7 linked regions of the Sus scrofa genome follow. The protein of the gene in region 7 interacts with the protein of the main gene of each other region in a pairwise test. Links are inferred from orthologs where the notes say so. Each region holds a gene or a part of one and is shown on either strand. Other genes may lie near its edges.

The links.
Region 1: the proteins of CEP70 (region 7) and RHPN1 interact in binary tests that used the Homo sapiens proteins (3 or more experiments, as listed by UniProt). The two-hybrid records come from large-scale screens. The link is inferred for Sus scrofa from reciprocal best matches to the Homo sapiens genes CEP70 and RHPN1.
Region 2: the proteins of CEP70 (region 7) and AKAP17A interact in binary tests that used the Homo sapiens proteins (3 or more experiments, as listed by UniProt). The two-hybrid records come from large-scale screens. The link is inferred for Sus scrofa from reciprocal best matches to the Homo sapiens genes CEP70 and AKAP17A.
Region 3: the proteins of CEP70 (region 7) and TEAD4 interact in a two-hybrid assay, tested with the Homo sapiens proteins (2 studies listed by BioGRID). The two-hybrid records come from large-scale screens. The link is inferred for Sus scrofa from reciprocal best matches to the Homo sapiens genes CEP70 and TEAD4.
Region 4: the proteins of CEP70 (region 7) and zinc finger protein 227 interact in binary tests that used the Homo sapiens proteins (3 or more experiments, as listed by UniProt). The two-hybrid records come from large-scale screens. The link is inferred for Sus scrofa from reciprocal best matches to the Homo sapiens genes CEP70 and ZNF227.
Region 5: the proteins of CEP70 (region 7) and KANSL1 interact in binary tests that used the Homo sapiens proteins (3 or more experiments, as listed by UniProt). The two-hybrid records come from large-scale screens. The link is inferred for Sus scrofa from reciprocal best matches to the Homo sapiens genes CEP70 and KANSL1.
Region 6: the proteins of CEP70 (region 7) and LAMTOR5 interact in binary tests that used the Homo sapiens proteins (3 or more experiments, as listed by UniProt). The two-hybrid records come from large-scale screens. The link is inferred for Sus scrofa from reciprocal best matches to the Homo sapiens genes CEP70 and LAMTOR5.

What each region holds. Positions count from the first base shown.
Region 1 is NC_010446.5:1,130,231-1,134,337, reverse strand, and holds the start of RHPN1 (rhophilin-1), read left to right. Parts: upstream 1-1,307; 5' UTR 1,308-1,481; coding exon 1,482-1,562; intron 1,563-3,751; coding exon 3,752-3,867; intron 3,868-4,107. UniProt on the Homo sapiens protein: Has no enzymatic activity. May serve as a target for Rho, and interact with some cytoskeletal component upon Rho binding or relay a Rho signal to other molecules.
Region 2 is NW_018084901.1:894,902-899,096, reverse strand, and holds the start of AKAP17A (A-kinase anchor protein 17A), read right to left. Parts: upstream 2,801-4,195; 5' UTR 2,645-2,800; intron 1,341-2,644; 5' UTR 1,325-1,340; coding exon 563-1,324; intron 1-562. UniProt on the Homo sapiens protein: Splice factor regulating alternative splice site selection for certain mRNA precursors. Mediates regulation of pre-mRNA splicing in a PKA-dependent manner.
Region 3 is NC_010447.5:67,164,780-67,168,975, forward strand, and holds the start of TEAD4 (transcriptional enhancer factor TEF-3), read right to left. Parts: upstream 2,801-4,196; 5' UTR 2,776-2,800; coding exon 2,550-2,775; intron 1-2,549. UniProt on the Homo sapiens protein: Transcription factor which plays a key role in the Hippo signaling pathway, a pathway involved in organ size control and tumor suppression by restricting proliferation and promoting apoptosis.
Region 4 is NC_010448.4:50,822,356-50,825,855, reverse strand, and holds part of zinc finger protein 227, read right to left. Parts: intron 2,717-3,500; 5' UTR 2,715-2,716; coding exon 2,655-2,714; intron 450-2,654; exon of another isoform or gene 409-449; coding exon 282-408; intron 1-281. UniProt on the Homo sapiens protein: May be involved in transcriptional regulation.
Region 5 is NC_010454.4:17,090,112-17,093,611, reverse strand, and holds part of KANSL1 (KAT8 regulatory NSL complex subunit 1), read right to left. Parts: intron 869-3,500; coding exon 747-868; intron 167-746; coding exon 109-166; intron 1-108. UniProt on the Homo sapiens protein: Non-catalytic component of the NSL histone acetyltransferase complex, a multiprotein complex that mediates histone H4 acetylation at 'Lys-5'- and 'Lys-8' (H4K5ac and H4K8ac) at transcription start sites and promotes transcription initiation.
Region 6 is NC_010446.5:109,721,341-109,725,463, reverse strand, and holds the start of LAMTOR5 (ragulator complex protein LAMTOR5), read right to left. Parts: upstream 2,801-4,123; 5' UTR 2,670-2,800; coding exon 2,464-2,669; intron 1,591-2,463; coding exon 1,529-1,590; intron 1-1,528. UniProt on the Homo sapiens protein: As part of the Ragulator complex it is involved in amino acid sensing and activation of mTORC1, a signaling complex promoting cell growth in response to growth factors, energy levels, and amino acids.
Region 7 is NC_010455.5:79,384,141-79,388,371, reverse strand, and holds the start of CEP70 (centrosomal protein of 70 kDa), read left to right. Parts: upstream 1-1,431; 5' UTR 1,432-1,588; intron 1,589-3,477; 5' UTR 3,478-3,571; coding exon 3,572-3,580; intron 3,581-4,231.

The sequences.
Region 1 (4,107 bases), on a different chromosome or scaffold from region 7:
CTGGTTATAGAAGATGCAGCGTCGCACCAACCTTAGCTCTACAGGAACCACTCGGCCAAAGAGGAGCCTCCTCCAGAGCCCCGCTGCCCTCCCCGAGGCGACCTCCCCTAAGTCGCTGAGCTGCCAATGCGGTGTTGAATTCCACCATTGCAAATTCCGCAATTCCACCCACAAGCGTCTGCCTCTGGAATTCTGCTTCTAATTCAGGCCTTATCTATTGATTTAGCCTCAGGAGGACGAGGCGCTTCTCTCACCCACTTCTTCACCTTTCACCTCTCCCCTCCCCACAGAAACTCGTAAAAGCTGTCCAGGGTCAAGATGCCACAGGACAGTGGTACACCGCTGAGTCAGGTCAAATACGTCTCTGGTTATTTTTTATTTTCCCGGGAGTTAACGATTCCCTTATTTCGTAGTTATTGTTGCAGATGGCCAGGGCGGCCCAAGCAGCTCAGCTCACAGGATTTGCAGGATCAAGCAAGAGCCTGTGGGGAAGAACGGAGGCGTGGCAGGAACCCAGGTGATGGCGAAGATGGCAAGGCTGGAACTTTAGGGCAACGTGATAAAGATTAGCCGCGTTACTGCTTATGCTCTGGTGTTCCTGCCCCTACAAGGGGTGTGTTCTTCCCTGAGGTGAGCCGGGCATGAAACGAGCGTGTTCCAGAGTCATCATACCTGGAGAAGTCAGGAAAGGACCCGGACGCTGGGGCAAACCCACCAGGAGAGCAGGGCACGGAAAGAGTCCAATTCTGGAAGCAGGCCAGCTCTGCAGGCAGGCTGGTCCCGGAGGCAAGTCAGTTCTAGAAGCGGGCTGTGAAAGTAAGATGATTCGGGAAGCAGATTGTACTGGCGAGTTCTGCAGCAGGTTCTTGGGGTGGGTTTTGGACGTTCTGAAGGGTGGGCTCCAGAGGCGGGTTCCAGGGGCAGGTTCTGGAAGCAGGATCTAGAGGCATGGCAATGGAGCGCCGACCGCTGTTAGCACTGTGGCCAGGCCGAAGCCTGGGTCCCGACGCAGAGAGAAAAGCGGACATCGAGACCTGCACGGGCGCTTGTTCCAGCAAAACTGTTAACCACCCCTTGGCGAATCTTTACGAGCGGCGCCCCGAGGCCCCGCCGCTGGGCGGGTGAAACCCGCGTTGCCCAGGGCCCTGCGCCGCGCCTTGTTTTTCCCTTTTCCGCCGCCGGCGGTTGCCAGGGGCGACCGCATCCCCCTCCACCCCCCGCCTCCGGGCTCCTCGGGCGCAGGCGGGCGGGGTCTGGCCGCGAAGCCACCTCCCTCGGGCTCTGGTTGGCCGAAGCTTCCGTCTGTCAGAGTCGCTGCCGCCGCCGATTGGACAAGTTTCGCACGCCCGGCGGCTAGCGCCCCGCCTCTCCACCCGGCCTGGCGGCCACCGGGAGAAGAGTACAGTGCGGGATCCCGCGCGCCGGGGGTCCCTGCGCCGGGATCGGCTTCCAGGTGGGCGTGGCCCGAGCAGCGGGCGGCGATGGTCCCCGAGGAGAGGCCAGATGGCCAGGCCGCTGGCGAGGAGAGCACTCAGCTGCAGGCGGCTGGCAGCTCCCGCAAGGTGGGCGCGCCCGGGGGCAGGGGGCGCCGGGAGGAGGGGTCCCAGACCCAGCCGGCTCCTGTGGCTGTCTGCCACCGGCGGGGCTGTGGAGCCCACGCTGGCTTTTCCCGTCTGAGCGCACCGCTAGTGTCGGGGGCGGGGGCGGACCCACCCGGTCCCCGAGAATCTCACTCGCCCCTAGAGGCAAGGTGGTCTTACTGCTGGGGAACCCAGGGCTCCATGCGGAGCCAGAGCCGGGTTGGCTGGCTGGCTGCCTGTGCTCCTCTCTCTCCCTCCTGTTTGGGGACACACACCCCCACCTCCGCCCTGCGCTTACCAGAAACCGGTGGGAGCGCCAGCCCAGCTTGTGGTTTTCTCCAATGCTCCAGGAACCGCTTCTGTGGCAGCGATTGGGCTTGGGTCCGTTGCAGCCCGTGGCCCTCATGTTTGCTCCTCGTGCCTGGCACTCGTTTCCTAGCTTTGCTCTCTTCCCTAGGGCCATTCAACTTTGCCCCGGGGCACTCATCTCTTGATGAAAGGCCTAGAGACAGGCGGCTGAAGCTTCCTGGGTATAGGAAGTGGCTGGAGGACTTCCCATCTGGGTGTTTGTCTCTCCTCACCCGCACCTCTGCCTCCTTCTGAAGTCTGATCGCTGGGGGGGTTGGGGGGGTTGGAGACCTTTGGAGTCTGTGTTCGGGAAAGAGGAGGCACCCTGGCTGTCTCACTCTGCAGCCCGGAGCCCGGTTCTCCCCTGGGGGTCACCGTGAGGCTGCCCCAGTGCTTATTCCAGGCTTTGGGCATCCATATCCACGAGGGGTTTCAGTCCCATGCCACCTGCCTGGTGGGGGCATGCGGCCTGGCCCTGCCCACCGTCCTGCAGGTTTGTTCCTAGACCCGTGCTGGCATAGCTATCCCCACACTTTGCCAGCTCTGGCCACTGCCCATGGCATTTTTCTCCTGGGGATTCTGGGGGATCCACTAGACCCTCACCCGTCGGGGCCACAGCAGTGAGGGTGTGTTGGGGTCGCTGCCTTATCAGAGGTGGGGGTTCTGCCATAAGTGGGCGAGCTGGCAGATCCCTTTACCACTTGTGAGAGTGGCTCTCAGCCCGCCCAGGTTACACAACCAGCCTGCTGCCAGCAGGGAGAGTTAGGGTGGCAAGGCTTTGAGGGGTGCTGGCCGCAGAGCTCCCTGGAGACCCCGCGGTCTCCGGCCTCCAACACTTCTCTCCAGGAGTCCTTGACACAGGAGACCAAATGAACTGTGTCGAGTGCGGCCCTGCTCCCCAGGCGGATGGCCATGCTGTCCTCCACAGCCCTGAGAACCTGCTGGAGCTCTGCAGTGGGACCTTGGGAGGGAGAGGGGTGTGGCTTCGGCGGGGCCTGCCCCTGCCTCTGAGTCTCAGGCCTCCTGGCAGGGGGTGACTGCTCACACCCTGGGCTCATCCCTCCTGAGCCCGGAGTGGGCACAGGAGGCACCACAGAGAAGGGCCTGTGGGAAGACAGCCAGCCAGCAGGGCGGAGCGGGGAGGGGGAGGCTGTGTTGTCTTGTCCCTTCTTGGTGCCATCGGGACACCAGCCCTCGTCCACCTCCAGATGAGGGCCTGCCCGGGGCTCCAGAGGGGGAGTCCTCCTGGCTGATTGCTCTCTATCCCGTTGGTCAGTGGGGTGCAGGTTCTCTCCTCAACACCTAGGACCGCTTGGAAGCCTTCTGTCTTTCAAGTCCCAGAAGAATGCCTCCTCCTGTAGGAAGTCCTCCTTGACTGACCTCTCCGGAGAATGCTGGTGTCTGGAGATGTTGGGCTGTTGTCCAAGGTGGCCGTGCACCAGGAGCCTTGTTTAGAGTGCCCCCCGCGTGGGGCCGGGACAGGCTGGAGTCCCCACGGGGTCTGAAACGGCCGTGTGTGTGTGTGTGTGTGTGACCACAGGGCACGCTTCCTCTGAAAGATCGCTCTTCGTGAGCACCTTGGCTGTCACCCCCCCACCTAAACACGTGTGGCCTGGAGTAACTGCGAGGGCGAGATGGGTCGTGGGGGTCACGCCAGGAATTCGCAAGTGCTGGAGGACGTGTGCTGGGCGGGCGGTCGGCTGTCTCCTGGTGGGGGCTCCAGGCTGGGCTGCTGAGTCCCAGAGCCCCAGCAGATGTGCCCAACTTCTTCCTGGGGCCCCGTCCTTCCAGGCCCGGCCCCCATGACTGCGGCCTCTCTGCAGGGCTGTGATCAGCTGGCGCAGATGCAGCGGGACCCCCTGCAGAGCCGCAGGGCCCGGATCCACCAGCAGATCAACAAAGAGCTACGGATGCGGACAGGGGCCGAGAACCTGTACAGGTGCGTGCTGGCTGCCTGGGGTACCAGCTGCCACCCCTGCCCCACAGGAGAGCGGTGCCGCGTTCCCAGAGGCCCCTGCGAGCCAGGCCCACCCTGCGTAAAGGAGGCAGGGCAGTGACCCCGGTGGCTGCCTGTTCTCGGTCCACATGTGAGTCCGTGACTGTGGCTTCCCAGGAGGCAGGGCTGGCTCTCCCACTAGGGGCTGGGGCAGCCAGCTCCCACCTTGGGGGGCCTCACTGG
Region 2 (4,195 bases), on a different chromosome or scaffold from region 7:
GCAAAGCCAGCACGAGTCAGTCCCCACTTGGCTGATGGTCAGAGAAGCCAGGGTCTCGTTTCAAGGGACGTCTGGGAGGGAGGCAGGCCGTGCAGCCGGCCCGGCCGGGGCTCCTTTCCGAGCATGCGCAGCGGTCACCCCCTCGCCCCCGTGGAACAATCAGCTCCCCAACTCTCTCGAAACACAGAATCGTTTTCTTTTCTTTTCAGGCCACACCATCGGCACGTGGAAGTTCCCAGCGAGGGGAGGCATCAGAGCCGCAACTGCAGGTCTACACCACAGCGACACCGGATCTGAGCTGAACCTGCGACCCACACCGCAGCTCGTGGCAATGTCGGATCCTTAACCCACGGAGCGTGGCCAGGGATCGAACCCAAAGCCCCCCGGTGCTAGTCAGGTCCTTAACCCGCTGAGCCACAACGGGAACTCCGAGGCACGGGTTTTATAAAAGAAAGCCGGGGGCCGCTTTTCAATGTCGGTGCCCGAGGCTCCACGGCCCGGGCGGCCGCAGGGCTCCAACACCGCCCCCCCGCCCCCCGCCGCGCGGGCCCGGGCGGCTCACCTTGATGTTGCAGGCCACGGCCTTGCCGTCCTCGCCCTTGTACATGAGCTTCATGCCGCGCAGGGCGCTCATGGCCTGGATGAAGCCCACGTACTCGCGGTACTGCACGTAGGCCTCGAAGTTCAGGTGGCCCCCGAAGCTGAAGGTGTGGAAGTTGCGGCCCGTCATCTCCTCGCGGTAGGGGTCCAGCATGGGGATGTCCACGTTGCGGATCTCCCCGAAGCGCTCGAACACCCTGACCAGCACCTCCTCGCTGGGCTTCTCGGAGCCCGACTCCTTCAGCGCGAACCACTTGCAGGGCAGCCCCTCCAGGTGGATGGTGTCGGGCCGCTCCCCGGGCAGCGTCTCGTTCATGTCCTTGGCGTCTCGGAAGAAGGAGTCCCAGTCGTGGCGGGTGGGGAAGTCGATCTTGAACTCGGCCGCGCGCACCTTGAGGATGTCGGAGAAGCCGCTGAGCTTGATGGTCTTGCCGTCCAGGCAGGCCAGGAAGGCCTTGACCAGGCTCTTGTTCTCCACCTCGCCCTCGAAGCGGATGAAGTCCATGGTGCTCTTGGAGATGCGCAGCGTGGAGAACTGGTGGTTGTGCACCATGCCCTTCAGCCGCTCCATCACCTCCCAGTTGGAGATGGACTTGCCCGGCTGCTTCAGCTGCGGCAGCGCCACGCTGATGGTCATCTTGGTGATGGGCTTCAGGTACAGGCCGTAGGTTGGGCACAGCTCCACCGCCTCAGACGTGTCGTGGACGATGGTGGCCGCGGCCATAGCCGGGACCTTGGGCCTGAAACACACACACACACACACATGCGCGCGCGGTCAGAGCTGGGCACCGGGACGAGGGTCCCCAGGCTGGCCGGTGAGGCCGCAGGCCCTGAGATGTTGGTGCTTTCAATCAAAGGGCTGCGCAGCGGGGTCCCCGCCCTCGGTGTATGGGGGGCAGGCCAACTCCACCCACCACTTCCACCGCTGGGGAAGGGACGGCCCAGAACAGGCATCTGGGAGGCTGTGCGGCGGGGGGTGGCCTTGTGTTTCCACTGAAGAAGAAACAGGAAGGAAGTTTCAGACTAGAGAAAAACAGCCGACAGCCATCGACTTCAGTCTCCCCACTGTGGGCAGACGCGCCCTCGCTGTGCCCGGCCGGGGGTGGGAGTCGCCTGCACCCTCCCCCCCTCACACCTTCCTCCCCAGGCTCTGCCCAACTGGTCTGACCAGTGGCTCCTTCCAGAAAGCCAGGCACCAGTGGCGAGCCTGACCCACGGGAACCAAACAGCACAGGTGGTCACCTGGCATCCGCCCGCCCACCAGTTAGCTCTCAGAGGCCCCCTGGGAGGGGAGGGGAGGGGAAGAGCAGCTGGAGGAAGAGCCACCTGGGGCCGGCCGGGGCACTGCGAAGGGCTGGAACCTGAGACGAGCGTCCCCTGCCTCACAAGACCCCAAGGGCTACAGGGAGGGCCGGACAGGGGGCAACCCCCGCTGCCTCCTGGGAACGCTGCTCACTGGCTGCCCCTGGGCCCTGAGCATGACCCCCAGCCCCTCGCTGCCCCCCTGTACGGTTCTCATTACCTCCACCCCCAGCCCCCGCGACCCTCTCCCCCGCTGCCTCCTGTCACCACGGCACCCACCCCCGACAGCCCCATTAACCTCGGTGCCCCCAGCGTCCGCACGTCGCCCCCCCTCTGACGCGGCCCCCAGTCCCTGAGTACCCGTGGTTTCCCGAGAACGCCCATCGCCCCCCGCCGCCTCTGGCTCCTCTCCCAGCCTCGGTGTCCTCGCCCGCGAGCCTCCCGCAGACCTTGGCCCTCGGTCCCCCGTCCCCCCGGCAGCCCGTCCCCGGCTCCTCAGACCCGGGCCCTCAATAATCCAGCCCCGGGTCGCCCGCAGACTCCGGCCCTCGGTACTCCGGCCCCCGGGTCGCCGTCATGAGGCTCCCCACCCCCGACCCCCGGGTCCCCTGGCCCCGGGCGCCCTCCCCGAGACCCCCAGCGGACTCCGGCCCTCGAGACACCGGCCTCCGGCCCCGCCCCCGAGACCCTCGCCCCCGCCCGGCCCGGCTCGCGGGAGGGGGCGGCTGCGGGCGGCGCTCACCGGCGCGGGGCTCCGCCTGCGTCCCAGGCCGCCGCCGCCCTGGCCCCAGCTCTCCGCGGGTCCCCGAGGACCCCGGCAGGCACGGCCTCCCCGCGCGGCGCCTTCCCCGTCCGCCGGAGGCGCCCCCGACGCGACCCGCTGCCGCCGCCGCCCGCCCCTGTGACGCATTTCCGCTTCCGGCGCCCGAGCCCGCGGATGCGGCCGCGCGGCGGCTTCGGGTTTCTCCTCCCGGCCCTGTCCCCGCCCACAGAGGCGGGACTTCCGGGGCCGCGGTGAGCGGGCCTCGCCGACCCCGGGCTTTGCACTGCGCGTGCGCAAGCCCGCCCTGCCCCCACCTCGCTGCCTGAGTTCTGGTCCCGCGAAGGTCTCCCTGGGGTCGGAAGGCGAAGCGGTCCGGCTTAGGGCCGAGGCCGGGTGTTTGGGCCTCAATTGTTAATACAATTATGCATCCCACATCATATGCCAATATAATTTAATTATAAGCTAGGTACGCACTTATTTACTTATTATAGGTATTGAGTTGTATAACACCGTTACACGTGTAATTGCATTCAGTATATACTATTCACGTGAATGTATAGTAGTTTTGCATTTTACATTTTTTACAGTTTAATATTTACTTTTTCGTAATGCTTATCTTAATATTTGGAAATAAGACTAGGTATTATGTTATTTTTATACATTCCGTAATACATTTTATATGTTTATTATTTTAAAGTAAATGTTAAATGGTGTTGAAAATTTACGTGTAAACATATAATATTTTTTTATCTTTTTTCCGCGGCACCCATGGCAAAAGGAAGTTCCCCAGGCCAGAGTTTGAATCCACACCACAGCTGCAGCAATGCTGGATCCTTAACCCACTGCACCACAGCAGGAACTCCTATCAGTATATTTTATGTGTTATATGGAACGTGTTTGGTAGATACTGAGTTTTTATATAAACTACATTTTGTATACAGTTTATGCATAATACTATTTGTTTATGTAATTTATACTTGTACATTAATGAACAGCAACTTATTAAGCTCCCACTTGATGGCAGGCACTGTACAACCAAGGCATGTGATTCTGATGCTTCAAATATGTCCCAAGTCCCAAACCGAGCATCTAAGGTGGGGGAACAGGAGCGCAGACCCTCTGTTTTTCTGTAAAGAAGTGCCAAAGGCTTCCGAAGGCATGAGGGTGGGTGAGGGGTCCCTAGGTCAGGGGGGCTTCTAAAAACAGGCTCCTGGGTATTGGCTGGGTGTCTGGTACGTGCAGGTCACACCGTCCCACTAAATGCTGTTCATGAAATAAATGCGATGATGCCCTCTTCCCAGCAAGGAGGAAACAGAGGCTCTCCAGGGCCCCCCACATTGTGGGAGGGGGGTCACTCTGAACCCAGGCTTCTCCTTGGGGTATGCATCTTTGCTTTCTTCTTTTGCCTTCTCTTCCTGAGAAGGCAGCGGTGTTTGCTGTTCTTTTGAAAGCCGTTCTCTCAAAGGCTGCGCACCGGTGGATGCAGCTCTGATTTCCGCTGTTAAATGGGGAACCTGCTTGCCCACTGCA
Region 3 (4,196 bases), on a different chromosome or scaffold from region 7:
AAAAGGAAGGACATCCTGACACCTGAAATGACACGGAGGAACCCTGAGGACATGATGTCAGGTGAAAAAGCCAGCACAAAAGGACAAATACTGTGTGATTCCATGTATATGAGGGCCCTGGAGGAGCTCTAGCCAAAGCGGTAGACTGGATGGCGGGTACCAGGGACTGCGGGAGAGGGACCTAGGGGCCAGTGCTGAGCGGGGACAGAGTTTCAGTTGGAGGGAATGAGAAAGTTCTAGAGACGGGCAGTGGGGATGGCTGCTCAACCACAATGTGAACGTACTTAATGCCACTGAGCTGTACACTTAAGAATGGGTAACAAAGAAACAGTGGGTCCCACTGTGGCACGCGAGGACTGTCTGCTGGCTCTCCAGACCTGCCACCACCGGGGCCTCCCCAACAGGCAGCACCCTCAGCGTTCTCCCCACACCGAGCGCCTCGAACACAATTGTATTTGCCAGGCCATGTGTCCTTTTAAAGCAGGAAGATCAATCCTGCTAGGCGCCTGGGCACTGACCACTGCCCCATCAAGGGACCCTGATTTCTCCAGCCACACCCCCGCCACGACGTCACCGTCACACCTCAGCTCATGACCAACACGCACCCCACTCTCCATCAAGCCGTGGAAGAGCCCAGGCCACCCAGCTCCACGGGAAGAGCCTACCTAAAGCAGGTCCCACCCCTGGCACCCACAGCTGCTCTGCGCACAGCGGCTGCCTCTTCCGTGAAGCTTCCATGGGGACCCAAAGTAAGAAGCAACCACTGGAGCAGGACGTGGTTAGAGCAAGGTGCCAGGGGAGCCCAAACCAGGGCGTGGAGACCCGCAGAAGTGGGGGCCCCGCAGAGCCTCAGCGGAGGGGCTGGTAAAGTCGGATGAGCAGCTGTAACAGGTAACCGAGGAGCAGAGCTGGGGTCTAGCTCGAAAGGACCTTGCTTCCTCCAGCAGGAGAAGGAATCCCTGCCCTTGCAGGGCAGGTGCAGATTAAAGACAAGCAGGTGGGGCTGGCTCCCTAGACCAGTCACAAAGCAGATTTGAGTTTAGTTAATTGAACAGAGTGGAACAGCGCCCGCCGCCCCCAACATTCACATCCATCCAGAACCTCAGAATGTAATCGTATCTGGAAATGATCTTTTTTTTTTTGGCCTTGCCCATGGCATCTGGAAGTTCCTGGGCCAGGGATCAAAGCCACACTACAGCAGTGACCCAAGCTGCTTCAGTGACAACACTGGATCCTTAACCACTAGGCCAGCAGGGAACTCCAGGAAACAGGGTCTTTACAGAATTAACTAGCTAAGATGAGGGCACACTGGATTAAGGGGGGCCTTATATCCAACGACTGGTATCTTAGAAGAGGAGGACACACAAAGACAGACAGACAGGACGGCCATGTGACAACAGAGTCTGAGACCAAAGTGCTACAGCTACAAGCCAAGGACACCAAGGGCCTCCAGCTGCCCCCAGAAGCTGGGAGGGGGCACAGATCAGATCCTCCGGCAGAGCTTCCAAGGGGAGCCAACCCCCAGCACCCTGAGTTCAGACCTTCAACCTTCTGACTCGGGAGAGGATACATGTCTGTCATCTTAAGGCAGCCCTGAAATTCGAGGTGGTTTTTTACAGCAGCCCTAGGAGCTGAGATCAGTCAGCTGATGAGGCATCTGTGCTGGGGGAGGGGCACCCACGTGGGGGTGGGCACTGGCCCAGAGCCATCTCATGGGAAGCAGGGCAAGACCCTCTGTGGACAGGGGCTTCAGCCAGTCAGAGATCCCCACAGCTCCTACCCAGTCCCAGTGTTTCAGGCTGGGGGTCCCAGGGAACTTTCCAATGGCAATGGAAGCCTGAACGGAGCCTCTAAAAGTTGTTCCGTGTTCATTTTGCTTCCCAGATACCCTCTCTTCCATCCCAAAGTCAACACAGCCCAGGCAGACGGCTCGTTCCTTCCCAGGGTCTGCGGGACAAAGTGCCTCTGTGTCCTGCATTGACAATGACGCAGAGGGCGTGTGGAGCCCCAGACCACGCCTTCCCTGATGGCTCTCAGCTAAGGGGCACACTCCTGCAGGGGGGTGGTCCTCACCCCCCCCCAACCCCGGGACACTCTCAACGCCTTGTGTACAGTTACCTGTATGCCCACCCCCACGTACCATGAGAAGGGACTAGATCTGCCCCGCCCCTGCCTGGCACACCAAAGGCCCAGGTATGAATGAGGGAGTGAACCAGGACCGCCTTCCTAAAGGCCTTCACAGCCACAGTGGGAAGCTGGGAGATCAGGCATCTGCCTGGGGGGTGGCTAAAGGGATTTTCCCAGCCTGCCCCGGGGGGATGTTCTAGGCTTTCCCAAGTTCCATCCTCACAGCCACCCAAAGGTGTCTCCCCTGATGCCTCCCAGCCCTTGGGAGCCTAGGACAGAGTAAAGCAGCGTCTGCCAGGACAAGCCCCAAGAGGTCACCTCTTTCCATCACTTGGAGGGAACCGGGTTGCTGTGCCCAGGCTGTTCCTGGGGCTGGACCATGAGCTGGCGGGCCTGCTGCCCAACACTGACAGCCTCCTTACCGTACATCTTGCCCTCATCCGATAGGATGATCTTGCGCCGACCGCAGGGCGGGTAGATGGCCAGGGCCTCCTGGAAGCTCTGCTCGATGTCGGGGCTCCACACGCCCTCTGCGTCATTGTCAATGGGCTTGTCCAAAGCCTGGCTGCCCCCAGAGACGTTGCTCCCCTCGGGGGAGTTGGGAGAGCTCCACTCGTTGGAGGTAATGGTGCCGGCCTTGCCCTCCAAGGCTCCGCTTGGAGGAGCGCCCGTTGGACCTGGGTGGGCAGAAAGCACAGCATTGGTGGATGAACGTGTGGACAAGGGGGTGGGGGAACCCAGGGAGCACCACCCCTGAACCAGGTGCTTCTCCTTTCCTGGTGCTCATGGCCCAGGAGCTCAAGGGGAAAGCCAGGGAATCCCATGGGGCAAAGAGTGAGGTGGGCGGGGCAGGGCGGGGTGGGGAGGGGCTGGTCAAGGGCAGGTCATCTCCCCTCCACAGACCTCAGCTCCCCACCCCATCAAAGGAGCTCAGCAACCAGGCACTGTCTGATTGTGGCTCTAGGAACCCAGATGGGGCTGAGAAGTTAGATGAGGGCCAAGTACCATGGATGTTCTACATTAGACCAAAAAGGGCCAAGAGCATACAAAATACTGTGCTCTGTTGGTGGGAATGTAAAATGGTGTGACCGCTAGGAAAACAGCATGGAGGGCCAACCAAAAAATCAAAGAGAATGACCATAGCACCTAACAATTCCACTTCTGAGTATATACCCAAAAGAACTGGAAGTAGGGTCTCAAAGACACTCATGTTCAAAGCAACATTATTCACCACAGCCAAGGGACAGAAGAACCCAAGTGTCCATGGACAAATGAATGGCTAAATAAAATGTGGTCTCTACGTATAGTGGAGTGTTATTCAGCCTTAAAAATGAAAAAAAAATCTTTTTGTTTGTTTTTTAGGGCCACCCTGCAGCATATGGAAGTTCCCAGGCTAGGGACTGAATCAGAGCTACAGCTGCAGGCCTACACCACAGATACAGCAATGCCAGATCCTAGCCATGTCTGTGACCTATACTGTAGCTTGTGGCAACATCAGATCCTTAACCTGCTGAAAGAAGCCAGGGATCGAACCCACATCCTCATCGACACTAGTTGGACTCTTAACCCACTGAGCCACAACAGGAACTCCATGAATATGCTTTATTTTGTCTTTTGTCTGGCCTCACCCATGGCATATGGAGGTTCCCAGCCTAGGTCAAATCGGAGCTGTTGCTGCCAGCCTACGCCACAGCCACAGCCACGCCGGATCCTTAACCCACTGAGCGAGGCCAGGGATCGAACCTGCAACCTCATGGTTCCTAGTCGGATTCATTTCCACTGTGCCATGACGGGAACTCTGAATATGCTCTTAACATTACTGAACTGCACACTTAAAAATGGTTCGTGGTGCAGTGGTTAACGAATCCGACTAGGAACCATGAGGTTGCGGGTTCGGTCCCTGCCCTTGCTCAGTGGGTTAACGATCTGGCGTTGCTGTGAGCTGTGGTGTAGGTTGCAGACGCAGCTCGGATCCCTCGTTTATGTGGCCCTGGCATAGGCCAGTGGCTACAGCTCTGATTCGACCCCTAGCCTGGGAACCTCCATATGCCGCGAGAGCGGCCCAAAGA
Region 4 (3,500 bases), on a different chromosome or scaffold from region 7:
TCACCAGCCACTAGCTGCCAGGAGCACCCCTCCCCAGCTGTGACCATCCAAAGTGTCTCCAGACATTGCCAAATGTCCCCAAGGAGGCAAAATCACCCCTGGAGAGAATTCTGCCTTAGCAGGGAGGGACAAGAAAAACCTGCGGATTAGAAAAACTTGCAGCTCCAAGGGTCAGGGAACCATTTGAAAAGATTCAAAGCTTTCAACAACAGAGCACCAGGGACTCTTGGGGGTGGGGGGGGACGGGGTTGAGGTTCAGGTCAGAGGGCACCCGTCCTCACCTACTGAGAGCAGGTTCCGGAAGTTCTCCAGCATTACGTCCCGGTACAGCTTCCTCTGGGTGGAGTCCAGCAGCCCCAGCTCCTCCTCGGTGAAGGTCACGGCCACGTCCTTGAAGGTCACTGCCTCCTACAACACCACACACAGTAACCTAAATCTGACAACCTCCACTGGAAGAAGGGCAGCATCGAGAAGGATAAAAATTACCCCAAAATCGGTTATCAATTTGGAGAGACTCCCAGGAGTTTTCAGTCCCAACCATTGTCCCTCTCAGTGACAGTGACGTTGCCTCCCTGCCTCCCCACTGCGTCACTGTTTATTGTTTGCTAAGTTTACAGGCTTTCAGCATTGCTACAGGACAGGCACATAGCTCCTCCTCTGCACTTTTAAGGCAGAGCCTTGTCCACCCACTGCCGCATGCGCGTGGAGACGGTGAAGGCACAGGCCGAGTTCAAATTTCAAGGTTTTAATTACAGGCCCTTGGCCAGATTCCTTCACCTCTCATTATCTCAATCTCCTCTTCTGTATAATGGTGTCACAAAAGAGCGCAAAAGGATTAGATGAGTGAATGTCTGTAAACCACTCACAAGGGCTCCTGGCTCATGACAAGTGCTCGGGAATGGGAACAAGTAGTGTCATCAGAATCTCTTTCACTCCAACTGTGACTACCCTAGTACAGTATTCCCTAGGATTGATGTTTAGTGTTAATCAATCCAAATAAAGCACAATTAGCTACAGATTTTCGCTTATAATCAAAGCTGCAAAGATCCTTTTACAGAGAGCTTAGCCAAGTTACAGCAATTGCAAAGTCATAAAGCATGCACTGTAAAATTTCTGAAAGGCAGATTGCCCTCTCAAAAGGTTTTTCCAGTTCACCTTTCATGTGAGAGGGTACAGATGTTCTTGAATCTCTAGACTGGCCAAATAGGACACAATTCCTAATCTCTGGAGTTCTCTGGTGTCACAGCAGGTTAAGGATCTGGCATCATCACTGCTGTGGCTATGGTTTGATCCCTGGCCCAGAAACTTCTGCATGCCACAGGCACAGACAAAAAAAAAGAAACAAACAAACAAAAAAACTTCAGGGTGGGAGAGACAGATTGGGGGTTTGGGACTGGCATATTCACACTGAGGTATATGGAATGTTTGGCCAACAGGGACCTGTTGTATAGCACAGAGAACTCTACCCAAAATTCTGTGATAACCTATGTGAGAAAAGAATCTGAAATAGAATGGGTATGTGTATATATACCACTGAATCACTTTGTTTTACAGTAGAAATTATCACAATGTTGTAAATCAACTATACTTCAATAAAACTTAAAAAGGCAAACAAAAAATTCTTCAACAATCTAAGCAGAATAAACAGAAAGCTTTTATTCATATTTGCACACATTTAGTTTTAGGGTTTTTTAAAGTTTTTTTTTGGCTGTGCCCACGGCATGTGGAAGTTCCTGGACACACAGTAGTGACTTGAGCCACAGCAGTGACAATCCCAGAACCTTAACCTACTGTGCCACCAGGCAACTCTCCACATTTAGTTATTGATGATCATTATTGACTTCGTAAACTTACTTCCCTTTTTTTGTGACATTCCTATTCATTTTTTTTTTGGCCATGCCTGAGCATTTTTTTTCCCCCAGGCCAGGGATAGAACCTGTGTCACTGCAGGAACCCAAGCCATAGCAGCAACAATGCTGGATCTTAACCTGCTGAGCTACCAGGAGTATCCTTTTTTTTTTTTTTGTCTTTTTAGGGCTGCACCCTCAGCAGGTAGAAGTTCCCAGGCTAGGGGTCGAATCAGAGCAACGTCAGCATGGCCACAGCAACACCAGATCCGAGCTGCATCTTTGATCTACACCACACCTTATGGCAACACTGGATCCTTAACCCACTGAGCAAGAACAGGGATCGAACCTGCATCCTCTTGAATACTAGTCGGGTTTGTTACTGCTGTGCCACCATGGGAACTCCTCTACAATTTTTTTAAAGATTGCTTTGTGAAATCACAAAGATGGTAAAACACTCACACACCAAGTCTGGTACACAACATGCACCCAAGATGTGTTGTGTTCCATTAACCTTTCCAACGAAGAGAAAAAAGATGTGCCTATTTGAGAAATAAAATCCCAACTTAGGGAACTTCCTCTTGTGGCTCAGCAGGTTATGAACCCGAACAGTATCCATGCGGATGTGGGTTTGCTCCCAGGCCTTGCTCAGTGGGTTAAGGATCTGCCATTACTTGGCTGTGACATAGGCTGGTAGCTACAGTTCTGATGTGGCCCCGGCCCGGGAACTTCCATATGCCGTAAGCACCCCTTCCCCCGCTTCCCCGCATAAAGCAATTAAGAGACAGAGAGTTATGCCTTACTTACCTGAAATTTGGTCATTTTCTCCCATTCCTTCTGGAGAAGGTCAGAGTCCTGAGAAGGCATAACTGGGGAGGGACAAGGAAGCCATGAGCTGCAGGCCAGGGCTGCCATGAGCCCATGTGGGTCTCTGCAGCCACATACAGCATGGAAAGCAGAGCTTGGCCTAGACTACAGCTGTCGACAGATACGTCAGCTTGGACAGTAAACAACCTGCACAACCAAACTCAGTATCCTTACAATAAAGGTTAAAGGGGGAGATGGGCTGGTCCTGGTTGAGGAAGAACTGAGAGAGGGAAAAGAGAATGGGGGGTGGGGAATGGGACAATCGTTGAGCTACAGAGGAAAAGTATGTAATGAAAGGGGATTTTAAGAGAATTGGTTGTATGAGATGAATGATACCCTGTGGTACTTTGCAAGAGAATTCAAGCCAAGTTTAAATTTCTTAGAATTAAAAAAAAAAAAAAGGAACTGAGAGGCAATGTAATGACATGTGGGTTTAAAAAAAAATGTGGGGTGTTCCCGCCGTGGCTCAGTGGTTAACGAATCCGACTAGGAACCATGAGGTTTCGGGTTCGATCCCTGGCCTCACTCAGTGGGTTAAGAATCCAGTGTTGCCGCGAGATGTGGTGTAGGTGGCAGATGAGGCTCAGATCTGGCATTGCTGTGGCTCTGGTGTAGGCTGGCGGCTATAGCTCCGATTCGACCCCTAGCCTGGGAAGCTCCATATGCCATGGGAGCGGGCCTAGAAAAGACAAGACAAAAAAAAAAAAAAAAAAAAAAAAAATGGGCTCTGGAGTCAAGTACCAAATCCTAGAAATGAAATTACCCATCCCTGTAACATCGAGGGTA
Region 5 (3,500 bases), on a different chromosome or scaffold from region 7:
AGGCTCTTCCTGGTCACAGCAGGAATACAGTGAGCTTGCACTTGATGCCACAGGTCCTGAGGCATCTGCAGTGTGTGCTCCTCCCAGAGGGAAGGACCACACCCTTACCTCCTCGTTCTCCTCATCAGGACTCCCCTTCAGAGACCGAAGATCGACCTCCCGCCAGCTGCAAAAACCAGAAAGGGACAACCGTGAGGTGGCAGGCAGTTTGGGGCAGGATACATTTGTGTAAGAGTGAGAGCCCTCCGCCTGCAAGTGACACCCCTCTATGCTGGGCCTTCTCAGCCCTGGAGGCCTCTACAAGAGGCTCCACACTCAAATGCCCACGAACAGGGGCAGCAGGCCGAGGGTGAGATGAGAGCTGGGAAGCTGAGGGGTCCAGCTGATGCTCCCATAGGGGAATGCACATACAGGGCTGCCCAATCTTTGAATCTGACAACAAAAGCTGGAAATAAAGACTCATATGTGAAACCTTGCTTTGATGCTGACGACAAATTCCGTATTTTAAAAGACACTTGTATATGTCAAACAAAACATGACCATAGCCAGTTTGTGGCCTGAGGTCTGGCTGGTGCTCATATAATGGGAGAGAATTATCTACAGAAATAATTTCACTCTAATCAGGTGGACCTTCTCTCAAGGAGAAGACAGAAGCCAAGGTGAGGGCCCCAAGCTCAGCGACAAGAAGAGAGGAAGAGGTACTAAGAGGAAGACCAGGGGAAGAGCTGATCATCCAGGACCCCTACCTGGGAGTCAGGATCTCCTTGTACTGCAGCTTCTCTACACGGGTCGTTGCAGCCACAGACATTGGGATGACGATGTTGTTAATATCGAATGAGCTCTCGCCCCTTCTCCTCCTCACTGGCTGCTGTGAAGACAAAGGTTACGTTTAAAAGGGAGGAACAGTTCCACAAACATCAAATCATACGTGTGAGATTCCAAACAGGATCGCAATAACCCCAGTAGGGACGACCACGGCAGAATCCCTAGGAGATGATCCCCCACAGCAAAGTGCTCAGGAAAAATACCAGGTGGTCCTGAGGAGCAGCTCCTGCCCCAGTCTTACTGGCCACCCTCCTCCTCCAGGCAGCTGCTCCATTTCTGCTCCTCCACACACGCCTTTTTACTCCCTCCCCGACTAAATCCTTTCTGTTCCCCCTTCATTCCTGTCCATGATGTAGACCCATGATGGCCCCTAAAAGCAATGCTGAAGCCTCGTGGTGACTCTTGAGGTTAAAAAGAATTCCCTTATCCTGAAAGACGCCCAAAGGACAGGCCCAGCTCAATGGATCATCTAACCTTGGTTGTCATGAAAGCACCTCCTTCTCGTGGGTCTGAACTCTTCAGCTGAATCTGTACCCAGCCCTTATTACGTGATTTCCTCTTCCTGGCTATTATTCTTGGGGAAAGAGCTGGGAGCTTTCTAACTATATCAATGGAGATGAGTGGAGGGAATGGATGAAGAGGACCGGGCTATACAGCTCACACTCCTAGAGAAAGGAGATTCGTCCCTGTAGGAAGTTAAGATCAAACTCAGGAAAGAAGACTAACGAAGATCCAGCCAGTATCAGAGGAGGAGGTGGGCATCTGCAGCAGCTGGGAGATCAGGAGGAATAAAGCAAGGAGCCGAAGGGCATGGTTTCTTAGATGGAGGGACAAGTCCATGAGCGGCCTTGTGCCTTGATAGCAAACACCCTGCCCTACAATAGGGACTGACAATTGAGCTGAGAGGGGCCAGAGGGAAATAGTGGGGATGACAAACATGCTGCCATGGCAACAGTACAGCTGTGAACACCTAAGAGGCTGTATTCAAACCCAAACCACCAACAGGGATCAGCCCAGAGGCAAGGGGTTAGTGAGGGAAGATGAGAAAGAGGCTGTTCCCCACAACTAAGCTGTCTACTCCCTGTTCCTGGAGGGGCATCCATGACTGGTCCATCCTATCACTGCAGGGCCTTCTCAGAGAATGCTGAAAGGCAGGCTTTCCTGAGCCAGGATTTTAGTTGCTGTCACCTATGATTTCAGGTTAAAACAATGTCTTTTCCACCTCAGTTTCTTCCTCTATCAGCAAGAACAGACTGATGCTGACTGCACAAATTTAAGGTAACTGGTTAACCAAAACGGCTGATGTCTTGCCTGGCTGAGTTCTGCAGCTGAAGCTCAGTGACCTCATACCCCAAGGCCTTTGCCACTGCCTCATCTCTGCTGAACACATGCGTCCCACTATAGGAAGTGTACCTTAAGGAAGCCTCAAGAGACACTTTCCCTATATTTTGGTCGAGAATGAATGTGAAACTGCTGGCAGAAACAGCTATGTATTTTCCCTGAATCTTCTTGGGCCTGCTCTTAGTACCTTCAAGGCAAAGAGACAGGTGTGGGTTGTGAGGTTCAACAGGCTCCAGCCTCCACCCCACACTTAGATGCCCCAGTTCCACCAGGTACTCATTTGGTCTAACGTAACTAACTACTTTCTCCTGTTTAGAGCCACAGGTGGAAGGCAGGTGATGAGAATGCAAAGTGGTGCCCAAACCTAGCTACACATCAGAAGCAAGAGGAAGAATAAATTAAAACAACAACAACAAAACACACACAAAAAACCTTCCAGGGTCCCCTCCTTTCTAACTATCAAATCAGAATATTCAGGGCTTCCAAATAAGGGGCAGGGGGGTGGCAGCGGCACACAGAGGTGATTCGGATGCATCCATCAGCTTTTGTGGCTTTTGCTGAAGCACTACCACATATGCCCCCATCCCTCCCTTCCCCTGCCATTTCTCCAGTGTCTTGTAGCTTCTCTTATTAACTATCTGGTCTGTCCCTCTTCTTGCTATTAAATAAATCCAGATTCTTTTGAAGAAATTTGTCAGTAAGAGCCTTAAGGGTCAGCATAGTGCTATATACAAAATTTGTATGCATTAAATAAGTAAAAATTTTAAACGATCCAGGCCTAAGTTTACATTTGCCAGACACATGAGTGCTGGCAGGTTAAAAAAAAAAGTGAAGTCTCACCAAGTCCTAGAAATTAGAGAATATCTTCTATCAGGATAAGCGCCCCCCCTTTTTTGGGTGGGAGGAGGGGAGCTGTGTCTGCAGCATGAGGACACTCAGGACCAGAGATCGAACCTGAACCACAGCAGTGACAACGCCAGATCCCTAACCTGCCGAGCCTCTATAATAAGTCTCTTTAAAATCCTTTCATTTTCCAAGACTCCCTGCCAATGGACAACTGAATGTGTGACAGATTCTACACATCTATTGAGATAAAACCTATAGTGTGCGAGGTGAAAGGGGGGAGAAACGAGATCATTTAAGAGTCAGAACAATATGCAATAGGAGCTTAGTGAGCACCAGCATAAGTCACCTCTGCAGTGCCCCAACCCAGGCTCTCACTGTGTAGCACGATGGTCAGGTACAAGAGCTGGCTCTGCAGTCAGACTGCCTGGGTCGGAGTCACAACTGTAACCCTCACAACTTGCCTTGCCTCAGGCAATTCACTTAACCTT
Region 6 (4,123 bases), on a different chromosome or scaffold from region 7:
GAAATTGGATTGTTATGATCATTATACAACTACAGATGTGATAAATTCATTTGAGCAATAAAAAAATAAATTTATATATATTTTTATTAAACAGTAATTGATTTACAATGTCATGCCAATTTCTGCTGTACAGCAAAGTGACCGCACACACACACATTTCTTTTCTTATATTATCTTCCATCATGGTCTATCCTAAGAGATTGGATATAGTTCCCTGGGGTATACAGTAGGACCTCATGGTTTCTCCATTCTACATGTAATAGTTTGCATCTACTAACCCCAAACTCCCAGTCCATCCCACTCCCTCCCTCCTCCCCCTTGGCAACCACAAGTCTGTTCTTTATGTCTGTGAGTCTGTTTCTGTTTTGTAGGTAGGTTCATCTGTGGGACCTTGAAAGTTTCTTAAAGAAATTAATTTAGTTTTAGATTTCCATACTTGAATCTCAACCTTTCCATCTGTAAACCTGGCAAGCACCTCAAAAAAAAAAAAAAAAAAATCTCCCTTTTCTTCCAACTAACTGATTTGTGTATAAAACCTGAGTTACACAGACTAATTCTTTCAATTACCCTCCCTGCAAAAATTCAGAGCTTTAAAAAAATCTTGCAGAACAGAAGAGTAGTGAGCAGGGTGTCCTGGGTTTACTAGTTCTGACATTAATTAGCTGAAGCCTCCCATTGTTTACCTTTCTGGATTTCTTTCCTCATCTGCAATTTGTTACTATCTGTTGAGCATCATGTCTGGGTTCTGTGCTGAGTGTTTTACATATTTTATATGATCCTATATTATTGTGATGTAGAGGCTTTGGGGCCAGACTCAAATCCTAGCTCAATCACTTACTAGTTGTATGACCCTGGTCCAGTTACTCAACCTCTGTGCCTCAATTTCTTTATCTACCTCATAGGATTGTTACAAGGATTAAATGACTTGATATGTGGAAAGTGCTTATAATGGTGCCTGGCACATAGAGCTCAGTAAGTGCAATTCCATAATAATAATTATTATCAAACAACAACCCACTACAGAAACTGAAATTCGGAAAGGTTCTTTTTGGTCCAGGTTCACACTAGTAGTACAGGGGAGGGCTGGGGGTTGAACCTAGGTGTGTCTGAGCTTGCACCCCTCATTTTTACTGCCTACTTACTGTTCAGTGAAGTTGAACTAAAAAATAACACCATCCATCTGGCAGGGTTACTGGGGAAATTTAGCAGTCCCAAAATACATTCAATAAATGGTAACTGCTGTCATTATCTGAAGTCCTTTCTAGACTCTGTTTAGAATGATTCAAATACTATTCTAGAAGAAACAACTATGTAGTGCTAGAACTGCAAGGGACATCTCCACCTTTATAAGTATCAACTGAAAACATTCAGTTTTCTAATTTTGCTATTGGGAGATGATCTCTATTTACAGAAAAGTCCCCCAAAAGTGGCAGGGTGGCAGGAAATGCAAACTAGAGAAAGCACCCTAGGCTCCCAGTCAACATCAAGTGCTGTGCAATCCCTGGAAGGGCTGTTGTCAGATACTTACATCCCAGATTGAGTCCTTGTGAATCTGTGCACAGGACTCCAACAATGGATGGATTCTTCATTCTAATTCCAGGGACACAGGAAGAAAGAAGCAAATGATGTAGGAAAAATGGATTTAAATATAACACACACAGGCTTTCTATGTACCCAGCACTGCTGTTAAGTGCTTTAAATCAGTGTTAGTCTTTTTTCTTTATCCCTCATCCCTACTCCAAGAAAAATTACATTAAATCATAATAAGCTAACTTTAATGATGGTTAAACTAATTTCTCTCTGATGAGAGAAAAGACTGCCAGGTACTGCTAAGCTTTGGAGGGCTACAAACGTTGCAATAGCTAGGATTTTGTTGCCCTCGTTAAAAATATGTATTTTAGCCTACTCTCTCACTTGAAAGAACTGCTGAAAAGCTAACTAAAACTGGTTGCCCCATGGAGAGGAAGTGGGAAGCTGAGCGGCCCTGATGCAAGGGAGGTGTCTCCCTGTACGCCGTCTTAAACTTTTCTAATTTTGGATTTTACGTAGACACTATCTGTTCGAAAAATTTAAAGGATGTCTTTCATCTTCTTGAGCACCAAATAACTGGTTACACCAGAAGGAGGTACGCGTGTGTGTTTACGTTTACACTGAAGATACAGGTGGTAGGTACCTCCTTCCCCCAAATGAACTCGGTTCCTAAAACTCCTAAAGAACGGCCCCGCCCAAACAATTTCTACACGACAGGCGGGATTTGGGCTCGGACCCGGGACACTTGTTCCGGAGGGAGTGTGCGGAGCACCGGCGGGATTTAATTCCGGGTTACCCTCCACTCCCATCGGCGGCCCGGGGAGAGAACGTCCCCAAGAAGCCCAGCGGGCAGTCACAGCTCGCGCCTTCTGTTGCGCTCAAGGACAGGCCCGCCGCGAACCCAGGACAGGCCGACGTGGCCACATTACTTACGTGTCCTCCAAGTGCTGCTCCAAGGTTGCTTCCATCCCGCCGCCGTCCGCCGGGCGCACCACCCACGGTGGGTCTTCTCCTAGGAAACTGGTCTCCGGCTCCGCTTGGTCAGTCACATGATGCGAGCAGGACGCGGACCTGGACGGCGCCTCCAAAGGGACAAACTTCGTGGCGCAGTCTCGGCGTTTTCTCCGGGATGATGTCATTACGCGCCCTCTGCCGCCGCGAGCTGGGCGGGGTTCTGCTGCCTGGGGTGCGACCCGCGAGGGGACCGCGCGGGATGTACCCCCGGGAGGGAGGTCTGTAGTCTTCCCTTGGAGCCAGCTTCCTGGCCTGTCCCTTTGTCTCCGCCGTACAGACCTTTGGATTTCGATTCCACCGACTCCGAGAAGTCGGGCCAGGTCTGGTTGAAGTTTTACAATAATCCGGCCGGCCCCGCGGGGTCCCATCCAGGTGGTAGGGCAGGGACAGACAAGAGAGACACAGGATTCCGATGAAGGGTTCCCCAGGCTTGGAGGGACAAAGAGAGGAAGGACAAGGGACTAGAGGATGAGGCGGAACAAAATTAAAACCCCAAGCTGGGTAGGGGGGCAAGTGTTGCGATTTTTCGAAGACGTTGGTTCTTCCTCTTTGGAGAGGATTCGGGAACGTTTGAGAAAGAAGGTGTCATTGTAATAAAGACTGGGTAGGACCACTTAAAAAGTAACCTTTAAAAAAAGTTAATTACAAAAGCAGTTATAGGGAGTTCTGGTCGTGGCTCAGTGGCTAACGAATCCGACTAGGAACCATGAGGTTGTATGTTCGATCCCTGGCTTGCTTAGTGGGTTAAAGATCCGGCGTTGCGGTGAGCTGTGGTGTAGGTCGCAGACCCGGCTCGATCCCACGTTGCTGTGGTGGCTCTGGCGTAGGCGGGCTACTACAGCTCCGATTCGACCCCTAGCCTGGGAACCTCCATATGCCGCAGGAGCGGCCCTAGAAAAGACATAAAGACAAAAATTAAAAAAAAAAGCAGTTGTAAAAATAAGGAAAGAAAGCCCACCCATTGTCTTTGTCCGGAGATGACTGATAAGGCCTTGGAGAATATTCTTTCCGCCGGTTGGTTGTCTTTGCAAATGTATACTTTGTGTTATTGTTTTTTCTTTTTTAAAGCTAAGTTGACACACATATTGTACAAACAATTCTGTAGCTTATCTTTTTCACAAAATTTAGCAAAAATGTCTTTCTGACATAAAGTTCATTTACGGCATTTGTAATACTTAGAAAATATTACATATTATAGCTTAACCAACCCCTTATTAATGTACAGTTAGGTTGCTTATAGTTTTGTTGTTGTCGTTGTTATGTTTGGGTTTTGGCTGTGACAAATGCTGGATGAATATTCTTATGGCCAAATATTTGTGCAGTTTAAATTTTTTCTTATAGTAAGTTACAAGAATGGAATTATTGGGTCAAGGTTTTAAAGTCTTTTAATATACACTTACAAGTTACCCCCCAGAAAGGTGGTTCCAGTTTACACTCAGATTGGTAGCATTTTGATGAGAATGGGAGTGTGCCCAGAGGCTCACCCATCCCCCCATAAGCCTCTACCCGCTCCCTGTAATCCTCCTGGCAGCACACCTCGACCTCCCTTTTCTCCAGCCCTCTCTCCTCCAGCTTTTAT
Region 7 (4,231 bases):
TACGGGTTGTCAACAGCGACACCGTGTGGCTATAAGATGCAATGACAATGGCCGCCAGACCTTCGCCTTAGGTATGTGGCAGCTGGATTTTCCCCTGAGAATTTTTGGGTCACTTAACCAGCTATGAATTTTTGAAAATTTTGGGCAGGGGCCCTATTTGTAGATGATGAATTTATTAAAGTGATAAATAGAGGATTTAGTTGATTTCTTTTTGTGGGAAAAAAGATCAGTGATCATATTTGTGCACTGTGGAGACTTTTTTTTTTAAACCCAGTTTTGTAAATAGTTTTTACTGGTTTACTATATAACACATATATAGTTTTTACATATATATAAAACAAATTATGCATGAAAGCTGTGTTTGAAGATACCCAAATTAAACCCTTTCCATTTTATATTCCATTTGAAAATTGATCTATGTTTCCCCATCATCTCCAAGATAAAGTCCCAGCTCTTCAGCACATTTGCTAAGACCTTCCTCTTATTCTCCAATATGCAACACACTCCTTAGCTTCCTTAAGAAGCCCATTATATTTGCCAATGTTTTGGGAGCTAGGCTTTTGGGGAGGGCAGATATGACCTGTACCAAGGAGCTCAGGTTTAATTACAGAAAAAAAAAAAAGTGAGATTTACTGAGCACTTGTGAGCTAGGCATTGTAATAAAGTGGTTTGGAGTTATTAATTTGCACATGAGGTTTCTCCAAATACCTTCTCCTATCTGTATTACTGGGGAAATAATTCCAAATCATTCTTATGCATATTTCTAGGTTTGTAGTTTTCTGCCTTGGAAATCACCTATTGAAGCTGGGGTTCCGCCCTGCAGATTCTGATTTAATTTGTTTTGGGCTTGAGCATCATTTTCGAAGCTCCTCAGGTGATTCTAATATACAGCTGGGGTGAAGACTTTAGCGACGGATGTAAATAATCTTTCTTTCCCTTCCGTGCCCTGCATACCTTTCCTGATCATGTCTTATCACATTGCACCTTCTTTTCAGGGTGTATATCTAGCTCCCTAACTAGCCTCTGAATATCCCCAGTCAGCCACTTTTGCATTTCTGGAACGCGATTTATGGCCTGACATTTGGCGGAAATTTGGCAAATGCTGAATGGGAAGGTAAAATGTCCTCAAGACATACTTATTTCCGTGTGTGTGTGTGTGTGTGTGTGTGTGTGTGTGTGTGTGTGTGTACGCACGCGCTCGCGCGCCGACCGCCTCAAATGTGGATTTCTGAAGTTTTCCTGGCAAATGAGGACCCAGGTAAGCGAACAGCAGTTGCGAGGAGAAGGGGTCCAGCAGCTGTGGAGCACAGACGGCAAAGCCGCAACAGCAAACTATCGCTCACTTTAATGGTAAGCCCCGCCCCCAGCAGCAGAGCCAACCAGAGGGCACGGAGCAATCCCAGCCTTCCTGGGCGGTCTGAGAAAGTCGCTAGGGCTTTCAGAGCCGGAGCAGAATCGGGCTCGTCGATGAGCTCGGGCTCGATTGGCTGGCCTCCCACGGTGGAGTAACGGTCGTAGAGGCGGGGCGGGAGGCGGCTGAGCCGGCCGGGCTGGGCGAGCTGCTGTAGAGAGGCGGCAGCTGAGGAAGGTAAGCGGCCTTCGGGGTTCACAGAGGCTTTGCCTGGAGCCCCTGCTTGAGCTTCCACCGGAAATGGTCTCGTCTGCGCAATGCGAGTGGTCATACTGACCCTTACTGGGGTCCCCAGAGAGGAGCTGCCTGGGACGGGTTGGCGCCAGTTAAAAATCCCTGGATAAGGAGTTTGGGGGCGGGTGGGGGGAACCTGATCGACCTGGTCCTAGTCCTGGCTCCTCGCCCCTTGTGATCTTTGGCTCCTCATTTAACATCTCAGCGCATCAGTTTCTTCAGTTGTAGACGACAGCTGGTAAATCTTTCCTTACAAGGTGGTTGAGAAGGTTAATTGAGGTAGTGAGTGTGAAGCTTGGACGGATACCTGGCGCAGCCTGGATTCTGGATAGTTGTTGGTAGTTACTCCGTCCCCATGCGCTGGCCGGGGGGTCTCGCCCCACGTTTCAGAATCTAGGTGCCTGGGAAGGTAACTTGGCGAGTGAAGGCTCGTAGCAGAAGGTGGGGGATACACAAAGGGGTAGGTGAGTAATCCCTTCTCTGGTTTAAGTAATCTTTGCAGAGTTGGAGAGTCTCTTTATGTGGAATCTAATATGATTTTATTAAGAAAATCAGTGAGATGGAAATGTTGAAATGTAGAAGGGTTTCTGTACCACTTTATTTTCTATACATAATAATGGTAAAGACTGTGCGGGCATTACCTCTTTTGGCCTCAATCTTCTTCTGCATGAGGTTTTGTTTTGTTTTTACTTTTGGTATTGTCAAGTAGACCCGGGCCTTCCCCACCTCACCTTGGGAAAAAGGTGGCTGGCTGGCTAGGGTTTTGCCCGCAGCTTCTGCTTAGTGGCCTATTCTAACCTTTTATGTAACCTCTCCTGGGGCAGGATGATTTAATCGAGGTAAGATCCGATCCTAATTCTGTTTCCTTAGATTCGCTTCTTAGGAACGTTAAACAGTGTATTGGTATATTTTTGGGATGGCGCTTTTGCATTTAACAGACAATAGAGACTTTGAAAGCATTGCACATTCCATTTATTGCAGTAAAGTGAAATATGTGCTTTTGAGAAAGCTAATTACAGGTTTTGAGGTGACTCAAAAAAGAACAGCTACCAGCCATGCTTTATTCCCAGCTTGTCCCCAAAAAAGTAGTGAAAAGCAACTACATTTTAATGTATGGGGCATGAGCCAGGGGCTCCAAACCTATAAGGGGTAAGTTACCAAAGGGCTCTTGGGAAACCTAGACAGTGCAAACAGAACTATGTTTGGCTTCTCTGTGCTTGGTTTTCTGTGGTGTGTATGAACCAACTCCTACCCCGCAACTCCTTTTCCCACAGTTTTACTTTAGGTATCTTATGACACTGCTTAAAGCAAGCCACACCATCTGCTTTGGTCCTGGGAAGCACTGGGTCTCTTCTGGTGACTCACAGACCTGTGTCCTGGCATAGCCCGTAGTGGGGAAAATGCTGCTGCAAACTATCTGTAACATTAATTTCACAGCATAGACCTCTGAAAAGAAGGGCTTTGTCACAGGTGAAATTGATAGTTGTTCTCCTTGTCTTTGTGTTTCAGTACCAGTTGTCTGAGAGTACCCTTGCCAATGAGAATATTGTTTGAATACCTTTGAAGTCAGAATCAGATTTGATGCTAGATGATAATAGAGTTGGGCTCTCAGGTATATGTTTCAACAAAACAAAGAAAGACAAGGGGAGAGAAGGCAAGGGTGAAGGCACGTGGTGGTGAGCACTGGAGTCCATTAGCAGTTGATTCAGTAGATGCAGCTCCCTGTAGTCAGTCATTAACACCAAGAATACCTGCTCTGAGGATAACACAAATCATTCTTAATAGGAGATGAATGTTTAAGATGTGGGCCTGTTTATCTTTTTGAAACCTAGATGAAGATGCAGTTTCAGACGTGAGGCTCACTGGGTGATCATTTCATTCTGATCAACTTGAATGACCAGGTGAAAAGTGTAAGAGGAACGTGCTATGACTGAGGTATGTCTGACGCAATAAATAACTCCCTCTGGATGTTGAGAGGCTGTGGAAAGGATCTACTAATTATGGAATACTATGTATTTATTTCCTTTTGACCTCTTCATAATCCTATCAGATATTTTAAACCCAATCAAGGAAACTGAAGAGGTTAAGTAACTATTTAAGATAGTACAAGTAGCTGGTCACCAACTCTGATCACCACCTGTCTTGCTGTGTGCCAGGCACTGTTCCTTTTGCTTTTATTGTTATTTAACAAAATGTTTTTATTAAAAAATGACTTTTTATTATGAAATCAAACAGAAAAGAACACATATACCAAATGTATAGCTTAATGAATTATTAAAATCTGATACCACCCAGGGTAGGGTGGAGAACTATGCTAGCTAGCCATGCCAAGAATTTGCTTATCCCAATCACAACTGCTTTTGTCCTCTCATTAGTAGCTATTTTTCTGACTTTTATACTAGTCGCCTCCTTGTGTTAGTTTTTTCATAAATCCATATTCTTTGACACTATAATGTAGTCTTGCTCACTAAAATTTTTAAAAAATCTCTTGTAGATTGTTTCCCTATTCCTTTCTTTTCCTTATAATTTATCTAATGAAGAACTTGGTCATTTGACCTATATGTCCTATAGTCTGGATTTTGCAGA